Lonchura striata: one gene and its partner. The protein of the gene in region 2 interacts with the protein of the main gene of each other region in a pairwise test. Links are inferred from orthologs where the notes say so. Each region holds a gene or a part of one and is shown on either strand. Other genes may lie near its edges.

Region 1 (7,379 bases), on a different chromosome or scaffold from region 2:
AAAAGTGTACAGCTGCAACTGTATTCAAGTCCATCCCAGTCTTTTCATTTCAAAACCTCAAAACAAAAAATCAAATCAATACAGCAAAGCCATGAGGCCACTCTAGATCAAGATATAGAAGATAGCATCCAATGGAAAATGTTGCTGCAACGTTGCAGCACATTTTAAAAGATTAAAATATTTTTAAATTATTATTTCCTCTAATTTCACCCATACTTCCCAAGTAGTCTCTTGATATTGACAAGATATTGCCAGTTTTTTAAAATGTGTTTGTGCAATTGTCATATATGCTAGAGCTTTTATTTTTTGCTTTTTTCCTATTAAGAGATTCCGAAAATACTTTTAGAACTTCCTAAATCAACGTGCAGATGGTTTCTGCTCTTAATAAACCAGAATCTTCAAATGCCCATGTGAGACATGTGAGCTGATACCAGACCTTCATAGTTGAGGTCAGATCAACCACAGCACACTTGGTACACTCCATGAAGGTCTGCACTTCCAAAGGCAACAGGGACATAACTCTCACAGGAGACAACCAAAGGGATTTAACCCAAAACAAGAAGGCCAAGCTGGGAAAGAAGCTCTGCACAAGTGCCAAATGCGCTGTATGGTAAATATTACCCACTCAAAACTGGCACCAGCAGCAATGCAGCTGGGATCCAGTGCAGGCTGGCAGCCTTGTGCACTGCTCCAAAACTCACAAGCCCCAGGTATCACAAGTTTAGAATTGATGACAGCCCAGGCTCCCATAAACACACTGTACTGCAAATACTCCTTGCTTATTAGTTTGATCTGGCATCAGTCTTTCACATATATAAGCCAATGCCTATGAACATACTAATATATTTATATTTCAGGGCCTACTGATTTCTGGCAAGCTACTTCTTTGTAAACCATATATAAAGTAAGATGCCTTGATAACATCTCACAAACATGAATGCAAAACATGAACCCAAGCACGGCAGCTTATGCTTATTTTCAAAGAGAGCTACCTAGTGAGGACACACAATTTAAACACAACCAAGGAACACTATAAAAATACAACACATTATAGTACCAAACAAACACCAAGGTATTGATTACTTTTAACCCATAATCTGTATTAGAGGATGCAAATTACAGTACCTGGAAAAATCCAACAGCCTGAGTTGTAAGAAAGAAAAATGTAAAGAGCATATAAAAATGAGCTTCACAAAAAATATTTTTCTTGTCTCAACAGAGCTACTCATGGACCACCATTTTTTGTTAAAATAAATAGATAGATAATTTATATTGCAATAATAATTTCAAATTTAAATGGCAGGTATTTGAAATACATCCAAAAATATCCTACATATACATATTATCTGTATGCATATTCCTAACAAGAGCTGCAACAGTGAAAATACCTGCTCTCAATAAACTTAAAACTATGAATTTGGCTGCTGATGGTTTTTCTAACAGCTTTGGTTTCCCAGAGAAGACGAGCACAAAATGCCTGCCACTTTACTCAGCATCTTTAACATATACCATAATTCCTTCCCAGGTATTTTCTAGAGCATTTCATGTCAATCTACCTGCAGGAGCGTGTGCAAAAGTGACACAGAGTGATACAAGTCTGACAACTACTGGTGTGGAAAATGGAGAAACCAGACTGCATTATACATTTTAAGGACGTCGAATCCCTGTTACTAAGTCCCTATATTGCTTATCAACCAAATAAAAAACCCAAGAAAACCCAAAAAGCAAGCAAGCAAGCAACCACAGGAAGACCTAAAAAACAAAGACTCTCCATCTTCGCAACTATTTCTATTTTAAGTTAGCAAGTTTCCTGCTTGGGCGATGACGTTCTGCAGAAGCTACATGGTATTCATTAATCTGGGGCAAATCAATTAAAATTATACAACTGCTCAATATGCAAGCATTTGTGCATAAAAGTTCTCCTCCGCCACTAACCGGCGTTCGGCAAGTAGTTATTTTAGCTAAAAGCGCCGAACAACTCACTAGCTGTAAAACTGCTACATCTTGTGGCAACACAACACAAGGAGGAAAAGCAGACAATACCCGAAAGGGAACAGCGAAGGGACTTGTTTGCTCATAACCTTCATACAGATATTCCCTGCAAACACCCACAACACCCTGCTGTCGCTGTCGGTGTAACACAAGAGGGGAGGAGCAGGGGAGGGAGGAGAAAAATATTATCATCGAAGGCGTGATGGAGGACAGGAGAAAGTTGCAGTCATTCCGTGGCGGCCGCAAGGCGCCCTGTCACTTCTGGCCGCAAAACCGGCCGCCCCTGAGGGCGCTTTCCCCACGGGGACGAACCTCCGGTGTCGGCCCCTCTCTTCCCACCTCCATGATGCCAAAAGTGCCCAACTCCCTCCAGCAACAGCGGCTGCATCCTCCGGCGCAGCACTTCTACTCAGCCGCTGGCGGAGGGGAGCCTATTTCGGGGAGGACGCGGCGAGCGGCCGCCCGAGGAGACGCGAGCGGCTGCGGCAGGCGGACGGCCCGGGGCCGGAGGGAGCACGGCGGGTTCCCCTGCGCGGCCCGGCGCGGGGGGTAACAACGAGGCGCCGCCGCGCCGACGAGCGGGCGGGGGCGGCGGGGCCCCGCTCGCCCAGCGACCGAGGTTCCGCTCGCCACCACCGGGCCCGGCGCTGACCCCGCGCCGCCGCCGGGGGCACCGGCCTCTCCCGCCGCCGCTTCCCAGCGGCCCGGGACCGGCCTCCGGCGGCGGCGGCCGGGCCCCTCCCCAAGGGCCGGGCCCCCCGCGCAGCCCCGCGGCGCGCTGGTTACCTTCCTTGGGCGGCTTGCCGGGCGGCGCGCCGTGCAGCTGGGAGGCCGTCGCCGCCGCGGAGCAGCCCTGCAGGCTCGGTGGGGACGTGGAGAGCCGGGACCAAGATGGCGGCCCCTCCAAACTTCCACTGCTACTTTGGACACTCATCAAGCTACTTTCCTGGAGCCCGGCAGCCGCCGGGGGCGGCGGGGAAGGCGGCGCGGCGGGGGGACACCCAGCGCCGCGCTCATGGCCGGGGGGCCGGCCCGACACCGGCGCGGGGAGGCCGCCGGCTGGGAGCGAGCTCCGGAGGCAGGCGGGGCGCGAGAGAGACGGGGCGCGGGGCCAGCGCAACCTGCCCGCACCTCTGCACTGCGTCGCCGCCGCCGAGCAGCCGCCTGTGTCTGAGGCCAACCTTCCCCGCCGCCGCCGCCGCTGCCGCCGGGGAGGGGAGGGGAGGGCGCAGGCGGGGAGGGGTCATGCGCAAACACGATCGCGAGCCGAGCGAGCGCCGCGCTCCGCCGGCGCCCAGCCGAGCCCCGCCGAGCCGGAGCCGCCCAGGGGCGGCCGGCGGGAGCGGCGTCGGCCGCGCACGCACCTGCCCCCAGCCTCACCGCGCCGCGCGGCCCGAGCTCGCCGGCTGCTCCCGCCTCCGGGCTCCGACCCGGGCCGGTTCGCAGCCGCCCGCCGGCTGACCCTTCTCCCCGTGCACGCCCGTCCCGCGGCGATACCTCCCTGCCTTGCTCAAGCGCGCACCTTCCGCGCCGCAGGCGGCCTTCTGGCCGCCGCGGCCCGGCCGGAGCTAGCTCCCCTGAGGCCGCGGCGCTCCCCTCCGTCTCGGTTTCCCCGGCGGCACGGTCCGCCCGTGCCGCCGCGCCTTCCCCCGCGCCCCGCCGCCACGGCCATGGTTGTGTCGGGGCGGGGCGGCGGGGGCGGGAGCGGCGGCGGAGACGGAGACGGTACGCGCGGTGCCGGGGCCGGGGCCGGGGCCGCGCCGCCCCGACACCTCCCCGGCGTGCGGCCGCGCGGGGCCAGCCCAGCCCGCTGCCGGAGTGCGGGCGGCAGCGGCGGCGCTGAGCCGGCGCTTCCCAGCGCGATCCAGGTGAATGTTGTTCAGGCAGCATCGCCGGGAGCTCTCGGGCGCCTGCCGCTTCTCGGCGTTCCTTTTTCCGGACAGGATGGTGTGCCAGCAGAGACTCGGCGGCACTCGGGAGAAGCTGATGTCCCGAGGGAGAAGGCTTTAGCTGCTTCGCTGAGGAGCGGGAGCTCCCATCGGATGAACTGGAAGTCGGGCAGGAGCCATTTACCAGGCCCACCACCTCACCCGCTTCAACCGCCAGGCTGGGGCTCCCAGGTGGGCACCAACAGCGACCTGGCAAATTTCAAAACGTCTCTCTTTGCCTTGAGTTTAGAGACTAAAGTGCAAACTTCGCCGAATTTTTCCGTTTCTTCTTCCTTGAAATTAACATAATAGTGACCGAGAATGTGAGATATATGGAAAATCACTTCTGAAACAAAGCCTTTTAATTTGCCAGTGCAACTGGTAAATATATTTTTTTATATTTATATATATAACAGGGATAACAATGAGTTTGATTACTTACAAAAAATCAACGGGTTGTGGATATATTGCATTTTATGCATATGAAGAATATATCCATCATTCAGGCATGGCACTTATTTTGTGGTTGCTGTGTGGAGACATCCTGTCCATCTACTAACCTACTTTCCCTTCTATTTGAGAATGACAGGAATAGATTACTAATGTTGGATTGCAGTTCTCTGCACAACACACATATTACTAATTCTGTCTCTTCCTTTTAAAGTGACATCTGTGAAATTATCTAAGATCTTCACCTCCCACAAGTATACAGCATAGCTGGAAGTTTCTTTACAGTTTGGTATTAACTAAAAGTAAAAATTAGTATGTTTGCTTGCTAAACAAGTCTGTTCCAGGGCATATATCTAGTTATATATATATATATATATATTTAAGAGAGGTGATATGGTATTTCAGCAAGGACTTGCTTTTAATAAGGACTTGATCCTAAAGACTTCTCAGACTTTACATAAGCAAATTACATCAGGAAATTTCCAATACTTGGGAATGAAGTAGAACAGTGCTAGTTCACTCTGACTGCAGTATTAATACTTAGCAGCTGGTATAGAATATTCTTGCTAGGTACATAATCCCACAATCCATGATAGCATAAGTGAACATGCACCTTGTTTCCTGATTAATATATCCTGCTGCAGCATGCTTCTTTCAAAATCTGCTAAGTAAAAAGCAGTAAGTGAAAGAAATTAAGAAATTGTCTCTTTGTTTATAGCTCTTTGCATCCACTTCATACAAACCCTTGCTATCCTTACAAAACCATGCATAAGCAAGCATTCTTTCTTCCAGTTTTGCTTACTAACTGTTGCCTACAAATCATTCTACTGACACAGTTAAGACTTCTTGTTTAAATAAAGCATTATTTGCCTTGATTAAGGTAACAGGACATCATGCAGAAGATCCCGTTCTTTATTTCCTCTATCAGACATGCAGATTAAATATTATAAAAATGCTGAAGTGTCTTTTATATTTTCAAATATTGATGCTATGAAATATAATCAGACCTTTGCCATCTCATAATGTGTTAGACAACACCTCATCGAGAGACCAGGAGTAAGTGGGCATGCACTACAGGACTTCCCAGCAGAGCACAGTACCTGCTGCAAAGTATGGGTTGAGTCTGCATTTTGTAACATAGTAGAGCTGTATCTCTTGGTTTCATGAATTGTTGATGTAGAGATTGAAAGCAGAGTGTAAATTATATAGATCATCTCCAGATGAAACAACATACATAACTTCAAGAATACATGGAGCTGGGTATATTCCTCTCTTTAGTTTACAGAAAACCTACTTTCCTACTGAGTTAGAGCTGACACTTTTTTTAAAATACCCTTTTATTTGTAAAGCCCCATTGCTTCAGTGTTATGAATTTAATACTATCATGGCAGGAGAGAAACCTTCCTCAGTACCTTTCAGAAATTTCAAATTTCAAAAGACTTCCCTTATCAAATAGCATCGTAAATGTACATAATGCTTTTCCTTGAATGCCCTGTGTTTCTTCTGCAGTAAAACTTTATGATCCAGTGGCCAGAGAAATGGCCTTTTTCTCACAGTGGTGAACAGTCAGTCAGCATCACCTGCCCAAAATATTAAATACTAAATCCAACTCAAATAGTACTAAGTATTACTAATTATTTTTTTAAAATACAATAAGTATTAAATCTTTCTCTTTGCCTTCTAGTTTTTAGGAACAGAATAGTCTGCTATCAAGGTTTATGTGACCACTGCATACCATTAACATCAGGCATAACTTGAGGTAGTAGATAGAGGGAATCAACTTTCAGTGGGATTGCTCTGGATAACAATGAATAAGGTGCCACACACCTACCTATAAGGGAAAACTTGACTCCAGGTGAAGTCCCAGGAAACTCATTTAGTTTTGCTAATTCCTAAGGAAGAAGACCTCAAAACTCAGAACAGAAAGGAGTGAAAAGTGTGTGTGCTGTTTTTCTCATAAGAATGTGTCAAATGAAAGTTAGCAATGTTTATGGCAGTAGTAAGTGTTTAATTGAGGATAGTTGAAAAACAGAAAAGCATAAGGAATTTTTCTTATTCCAAAATCCTGAAAAGCATTAAAATTGTAAGAGCTTTCAAATTTGTCACTGGAATTATCAATGCAAGAAACTTTAATCACAGTAATTTCACAATCTCTAGGAAGTAAGAGAAGTTAACTGGCAAATAGCAAAGGAAGATGCTTAAAGAAAAAAAATTAATGGTCTGAATAGTGACAATTTTTGGAGACATCTACCTTGCATCTATAAAGATTACTGTGTGCTCAGGTCAAATGTCAATTACAAAATTTCCACATACATCCTTTAGAGAACAAAGAGACATCATTTCAAACATTACACAAAATGCAGAGTTTATCCCACATGTTCTTAAGGAAGTCTATGCTATGACTGTGGGACAAGTTACAGAGATATGGCAGTTCCTTCCCCGTTCTGAGATCTTCACCTTCATTGTTCATAGGCACCAAATACATTATGGTGTCCTCATGAAAGATTTGTATCTAATAACATCAAATATTGCATATTGTTAATAACTGCATATATTTACTTCTGTTTTTCCCACTAAAGTCAGTTTGCTATTAGCTGGCTTAGGTTTCATGCAAACAGCAGATACTGCAACACCGAGGCGTAGTGACTGACCACGCCAGGTAACTGATTATATAAATAGTGGATGTTTACACAGAGGTTCCAAATAAGACCATTTTTAAATTATGTCAGTAATTAGAAGGAAGGCCTCCAATTCAAGAGATGATTGGAAGAAGTAGAGGTAGAAGAGGAAATTGATTAAGCAGGCTGGTTCTTTTAGGAAAGAAAGTGAAGTGTTACAAGAAATGACAATATCCCTGAAAAGTAGTAAACTATATGCTGAACCATAGGCTTCCAAACTTAAATCAGCCTCTGTCAGCTACAAATCAGGGAAATGGCAGGAGTCAGAATTCATTAGGGTCTTTACCTCTGATGCTTTTGGCATCTATTTTACATGTAGCTTCTTCCATCT
Region 2 (7,116 bases):
GTGGTGCTTCCAGAAGGCTCAGAACACCAATTTGTGAGGATAAACTCCATTTGAGAGAGAGAATGTGGAGCGCAGGTACCCCCGGAGCTGAGGCACCTTCTTGATCCGTGCCAGGATCTGGGAATCCACGGCCTTCTGGTCTGTCTTGCGCTGCTCCGTCAGCTCATATTTCTGCAAAGCACAGAGAACAAGATGAAAATCCTGGGAGCAACTGCAGGATCCTTTAGAGAGAGGAGGAAATTCAGTGTAAAGCCTGAGTTTTAGGATTTTAAAGAAATCTTTCCCCCATTTGTTTTTGATAATGAGAAGGTGGTGCAGCACTGAAGCATTCCTTGGAGCCAACGCTGACAGCATTTCTTGGTCAAAAAAAGACATTTAACTGGAATAGTAACTCCTCTTCAGAGAAAAATCTCTGCATTCAGAAGGGGGAGTACCTCCTTTTAATGGCATTACCTCACTTTATTAATGACCACTTAAAATCAACCCGGCTTTTTTCATGCTAATTTCCTCTTTCCAGTCTAGCCTGGAGCATTGAGAAAGAAGGAACCACCCTGTCCCTTACTTCTTTCTCAGTGTCAAAGATCTCTCCTTCCTGGTGCTTTGGCTTCCTCAGCCGCTTCTTCTTGAAGTAGGAATCCGTGAGATGCTTGGGAATTTTCACCCCAGTGAGATCCACCTTTGTGGATGTGGCAATAACAAATTTCTGGTGGGCCCTGCGCAGTGGGACACGGTTGACAGCCAGGGGGCCTGAAGGTGGAGAAGACAAGAGAGAACAAGGTCAGCTTCTCTGGTGAAAACCACTTCCTTAAAGCTGAATTTTTGTAGTCTATGTGAGGACCAGTTCCTTCAGAGCTGCCTACAGATAAAATCTCAACAGTCAAACCCCTCTAGAAATACAAAAATCCTTTCTGAGCTCTTTCAGTTAGTCAGATCCTGAAACTTAAATCATCTCTCCTCCACCTCCCTGCAAAGTCACAAATGGCAGAATCATTCAAGTTGGAAAAGATCCCCAAGATCATCAAGTCCAACTTCTGACAGATCACCACCTTGTCAACTAGAGCAGAGCACCAAATGCCACATTCAGTTGTTCCTTGAACACCTCCAGGGGTGCTGACTCCACAAATATGATTCCCCACTGATGTGCCAAACCAAACATGTGCAGATGTGCTACTGACTCGACACAAACTAGAACTCAAAAAACCCAAAGAAGCCCCCAGAACAAAAGTACCATGTTTAAATATATTTTTTTTTTACCTGTAACAAGCAGAAGGCCAGTATCAAGCTGCTTCAGGAACACAACACGCTGCAAAGAAATGAGATGGGACATCAATCCTCAGGTCCCAGTGCTCCCATACCATAGTCAAACTGGGATTGTGCCTCTGTTCCTGGTACAAGTACTGACAGTGCTCCAGGCATGGGTCAGCTGTGCCACCTGAGGAGCTGCCAAATTGTGATCCAAGCTCCAGCACCTCCAGGTGCCTCCTCTCCAATAATGTGACTCTCCATGAGCTTTCTCTTTCAAGGCTAAGCAAAGCCAATTACTTGTTTTTGCTTTTCTCCCATCCTACAGGATGGTAACAGCTATCCCAACACTGAAATCCTTTGAGTTACAGGCAAGAATTGGATGAACACCACAAGGACTCTATAAATTCACACAGTCAGAGCCATTCCCCCATTGTGTTTTGCTCCTTCTGGTCAAGGCTTCCTTCTCTGGCAGCATTCTTTATGAAATCATGAATGTCAAAGAGAGAGAATTCAAGAAAATAAAGGATACCACTTGTGTTGGTGACCATCCTGAGGATGGGGAGCCCAATATAACGATTCAGTGCTACCCTATAATTAGATTAAGAATGAAACTTAAATTTTTCCTCTAATTTTTCCTTTGCAGTAACTGCTGCAGGACAAAGTTTTGTTTTTGTAGGAGCAGCAACAGAAACAGGCACTGGCTTTGCTCTGCAGCAAAACTCTCTGCATTGTGTCCAAGCAACTAGCTGAGCCTGTTTTACTTCCAGCTCTGCTCAGAACAACCTTAATTCAACAAACATTTCACCCCTGCCACCACTAAAGTCCGGACGAGGAAACCACCCCGACAGAAGTCGCAGATTTACACCCAGCAGGGTCAGACAAAATCAGCTGGGAGATTCAGGGGTGTCTGAAACGCTGCCAACGCCCTGGCAGCAGGAGCTGTGCCCACCTTGCCGCGGTGCCGGCCGGTGAGCAGGATGAGCACCGTGCCGGGGGTGATGGACGCCCGCAGGCGCCGCTTGTGCTCGCAGAACGGCTTCTTGCCATGGCTCAGCAGCTTCCGGGGAACGTCCTCCGTGGGGTAGTACCTGGGCTGGAACAGAGGACAACCACCTTGTACCACCCGCGTCTCACAGCATGGCAGCTCCTCAGGAAAGCTCTCCCTGTTGCCCTGAGGTTCAGCTTTCTGAAGGATTTCTGCTTCAGATGAGCTTGGGAACACAGTGAATGTTTTGGAATAGTGTCCAGCTCTGTATTTGTGCGTGCTTCCACCTCAGCACAGCAACATGCTGGACAGAGAATTCCCACCTGAATTCCCACCACCTCCCACGAACTCACAGAAAGCACACCACAGGCTGAGGGCCCTACATCATCCCAGCATGAGGCTCATCACCCAGCCTAAAGCCCCCTGCACCAAACCACGAGCATCCCGGTGCTCTTCCATACCATCTTCCGGATTTTAACCACCCGGCTGCCTCCATTCTTGTCTCCACCCACTGGCTTGGTGATGGTGGCACGGGGCATTTCCTTCTTCTTCTTCTCTATCTGTGTGCAAAGAACAAGGAAAACTCAGCACATTTCACACTAAAGGCAGCACGATAAACCCGATTACTGCCCCAGTGCTCCCCACCCTACCTTTGTCTCTGGGGCCGTGTACTTGCGCTTGTACAGGGCTTTCCTGGCGTACATGGCTGAGCGGGAATACCTCCCGATGCCCCGGGCCAGGACAGGGTTTCGGCTGGCATGGTACTTCTTCACCCTCTTCTTCTTGTCCCCCGCTGCTTTCTGGCTTGGCTTCTGCTCCGCCAGTTTCTTCTGTCCTGCCTTCTTCTTGGCCGACTTCTTCTCACCCGGTTTCTTCTCCGGCGCCTTCTCACCCGCCATCTGCGATCACAGTCGGCAGGGTTTAGAGCTCGTTACAAAGCACAGGAAATAAAATAATCCAAACAATCCTTCACACCTTTCCAGTAGCTGTCAGCCACCTCCTCCAGCCATAGCTGACCGAGTCCTGCTCCCTGTGCGCCCCTACATGACTTGAAATGCTCCTGCACGCTGCTCTCAACAGCTCCAGCGCCCATTCGGTGGAAACGCACACACACCCCGAGCCTGCAGCCGCCGCTGTCCCGGTTTGGGACTGCCCCGGCCCCGCGGAGCTGCCGGGCCGTGCCCCAGCGGCAGCCCCCGTCCAGCCCCAGCCCAGCTCCCGGGAGGCTCCGCCGCGGCCTCCGCATCCCGCCGCGGCCTAGCCCACTTGGACCGGCGACACTCCCACTCCTCCCCGCCCCCGCGCCCATCCGCGCCCCTCCGCCGCTCCCCGAGGCTGCCGGGCCGCGCCTGTGACCGCGGCGGGGCCGCCGGCGGGCGGATGGCGGCGGATGGAGCGCGGCGGGCCCGGCTCCGCTGGCGGCAGCTCCGCCATCCTCACCTTCCGGGGGAGCAAAAGGAACTCACATCCGGGTGCGCGGGCTAAGGACAGCGCGGCGTCTGACGTCAGCGCGCCGCGCGGGGGAGCACGGGACTCGTAGTCCGGGAGCGCCCGCGCTGCCCGGGGCAGCCCCGGGTCAGCGGCGGGGGGACACCAGACCCCGCGCCCGCTCCGGGGGCTGCGGGAGCCCCGGCCCGGGCAGCGGCCCCGCCGCGCCGCCGCCGCTTAACCCGCGTCCGCTCGGGGCTCGGCCGGCTCCGCGCCCCGCCCCGCGCGCGAGCGGGGCTGCGGTGTCCCCGCGCTCCCGCGCCGGGGGTCCCGCAGCCCCCGGGGCGGAGCGGCGGCGCGGGGCGGAGCGCGGCGCGGGGCGATGACGGCGCGGGCGGTGACGCGGGGCGGGCCGCGCCGCGCTCGCGGGCCCGAGGCCGCCGTTGTTCGCGCTCCCCGCAGCGCCCGAAGGCCGCGGCCCCGCCGGGACCCCCATGTGAGCGGCGGGCGGCGCGGGGGGGCCGGCGCACCGCGACCCGCCGGGGCCACGGGGGAAGATGACATCGCGGAGGTGAGGCGGGAGCGGCGGCCGCGCCGGCGGGGAGGGCGGCGGGCAGGGGCCGCGGCTCCGGGGGCGCCTCCGCGCCCGCTCCGGGGGTGCGGGGACGCGGCCGCTCCCTGCGGGCGGGCGGCACCCCCGGGAGCCGCCCCGGCAGCGCCCCGCTCCCGGGGGATGTCCCGGTGCCCGCTCCCGGGGGGATGTCCCCGAGCCCGCTCCCGGAGGATGTCCCGGTGCCCGCTCCCGGGGGATGTCCCGGTGCCCGCTCCCGGGGGGATGTCCCGGTGCCCGCTCCCGGGAGATGTCCCGGTGCCCGCTCCCGGGGGGATGTCCCGGTGCCCGCTCCCGGGGGGATGTCCCGGTGCCCGCTCCCGGAGGATATCCCGGTGCCCGCTCCCGGGGGGATGTCCCGGTGCCCGTTCCCGGGGGGATGTCCCGGAGCCCGCTCCCGGGGGATGTCCCCGAGCCCGTTCCCGGGGGGATGTCCCGGTGCCCGTTCCCGGGGGGATGTCCCGGTGCCCGCTCCCGCCCGTTCCCGGAGGATGTCCCCGCTCGGTCCCAGCGGAACCTCCCGGGGGTGGAGGGATCGGGTGGCTTCGAGTGTCTCGTCGCCGGTGCTCCCGGTTTTTGGGGGGTTCAAGTGAGTGTCCCCGCGGAGCGCTGGAGCCGAGGGGTGAATGGTTCGTGTGCGGGATGTGCTCGGTACCGAGGCACAGGGGTCGTGCTGCTCCGTCGGGAGGCAGCACGGCTGATTGACCCACCCTAAAACACGGCCCAGCTACAGAGCGAGTATCCCTGAGCTGCCCACAGCTGCCTTCTTAACCAGTTATCACCATTCGTTCTAATTTCAAACCCTTGTGGCGCCGTTAAAGCACTGATGAACAGCCAAACCCATTTCTTTGTTGTAGCTTCTCACTGTCCTTAAGGAATTTTGACATTTGTCTGGTACCCAGTGTCCTTTTGGGCTCAGAGATTTGGGTAAATGTTGGGTTTTAGTGGAATTATTGTCAGAAAAGGGTATAGGCATATTTACCCTTTTTAACAGATCTGTTCTAAGATTCTCAGACTGGTTTGGGTTGGAAGGGACCATAAAGCTCATCCCATTCCATCCCCTGCCATGGGCAGGGACACCTTCCAGTATCTCAGGTTGCTCCAAGCTCCCACCTGACCTTGGACACTTCCAGGGATGGGGCAGCCACAATTTCAATTCATTCACCTCTCTAACTAATACCTATTAAATTATAATTTCTTCAAGGGTAAGTTGTCCTCTCTCTTCTTCTGCTCAAGATGGTGAATCTGGATGAGTTGGTTTCAATCTCATGGCCATTTATAGTAGTTGGGTTTTTTTTAACTATATGGAGGCTTTTTAATCTATGTTGTGTTTTCTGGATATGCCTGCTCACACTGGGAACAAGTTACCTTTTGGCAGCACTGTGAATTTCCTTCTTGCCAGAAAAATGCTGTTATTCCGCTTAGAGCCCTAAATTGTAACTTGTGAGGGAGACTGAAAAAAGCTGGGAAATATCAACTGATGAGCCTATAAATAGGAGTAATTAAAGTACCCGTCAGCACATCCCCAGTGCTGTGGCTGTGACAGCTGAGACAGAACTGATTCCATCTCTCCTTTGCTCTTGCAAAGGTGATTAAAAAAACCAATCACTGCATGGAAAATTGTATTGATTTAATTCTTTTGGTTTGGTAAGAGAGAAATGTGCTGGCAGTGTGTGACTTAGGGAGCACAGATCCTGCTGGTCTTTGCTGGACCGTGATAACAAAAAAGGGATCATTGTGGGAAGGGTGGATTTTCCACTGGGGTTTTTTTGTTTTTTCATCAGAAGGTTCCTTGCTTTGCTGATACCCTCTTGGTTTTGAGCCCCTGCTGTTTCACTGGTTCCTCTCACCAACATTCCCACCTTGCTGTGAGCTAATTATGGGCTGGCAACGGTGTATTCCAAGCCCCCGAGTGGGAATTGCTGCGGGAGGGATGGTGAGGAGCCAGTCTGACCAGGGCGTGGGTTTGGGTGACTTCTGCGACCGCATTTACTGCCCTTGGCCGGGGCAGCTCTGCACCTGCTGCCACGGGACATGGGCAGGGAAAACAGGATAAAAAGCCCCAAATGCATTCCATCCCTATAAAAGGAAGTGTGAGAGCAGGTCCTGGCTCAGGGGGGGTGTCACTGCGGAGCGCTGGCCCTCGGCTGTCCCCTCCCAGCTTGGAAGGGCTGCAGCCCCAAGGTTGGGAGCACAAGGGATGGCAGCACTTCAAGGAGGATCCTCCTGGCGGCCGGAACCGCTGGCAGGGATCACTGACACCCCCATTCTGCTATTTGGGGTGGCTGACAAATGCAGCTTCCTACTCAAAGCCAAAAATACAGAGCTGAGGGAGCAGGAGGACGAGGCGCCAGCAGAGCCAGAGTTACATAAAGTGCAAGAAACCAAGAAACCCTCCCAGGTGTAGCTTGGCTTCGCTGCACTTGGCTTTTGGCATCTTGGTGTGGGTGTGGGAGAGAGATTTTGGGGTTTGAACCATCTATGGTGTGTTTAGCCTCTCCTTTAAATGCTGGTTACATAGCAGGTTATTTGTGTTCACCTCTGTACATAAATTATTAATTTTCCTTTGCTGTAACCACTCAAGTACAGCTACTTCCTTGAGGTTCAGGGTGGGATGCAGAAGATATTCCATTGGATGAAGTTTATGGAATGTCATCATAAATCTGGAGAAGCAATCCCAATAATTTCTCCTCTGCCTCTTTAGACATTTTTTTGCTATAAACTCCAAAATTTACCAAGGTTTCTCTTGAATCCTGTGCATATTTAAAAAGTTTGCAAACTGCACATTTTTTGTTGTTTTTTTTTTTTTTTTCTCCTAATGGAAGTAAAATTTTGAGATTGGAAATAT

The links.
Region 1: the proteins of PTPN11 (region 2) and TLK1 interact in binary tests that used the Homo sapiens proteins (3 or more experiments, as listed by UniProt). The link is inferred for Lonchura striata from reciprocal best matches to the Homo sapiens genes PTPN11 and TLK1.

What each region holds. Positions count from the first base shown.
Region 1 is NC_134610.1:20,256,004-20,263,382, forward strand, and holds the start of TLK1 (serine/threonine-protein kinase tousled-like 1), read right to left. Parts: upstream 3,008-7,379; 5' UTR 2,927-3,007; coding exon 2,779-2,926; intron 2,347-2,778; exon of another isoform or gene 2,305-2,346; intron 1-2,304. UniProt on the Homo sapiens protein: Rapidly and transiently inhibited by phosphorylation following the generation of DNA double-stranded breaks during S-phase. This is cell cycle checkpoint and ATM-pathway dependent and appears to regulate processes involved in chromatin assembly.
Region 2 is NC_134620.1:11,592,006-11,599,121, reverse strand, and holds the start of PTPN11 (tyrosine-protein phosphatase non-receptor type 11), read left to right. Parts: upstream 1-4,096; 5' UTR 4,097-4,215; coding exon 4,216-4,229; intron 4,230-7,116. Other genes in the region: RPL6 (large ribosomal subunit protein eL6), read right to left, coding at 19-171, 563-747, 1,255-1,303, 2,195-2,338, 2,692-2,790, 2,881-3,129. UniProt on the Homo sapiens protein: Acts downstream of various receptor and cytoplasmic protein tyrosine kinases to participate in the signal transduction from the cell surface to the nucleus. Positively regulates MAPK signal transduction pathway. Dephosphorylates GAB1, ARHGAP35 and EGFR.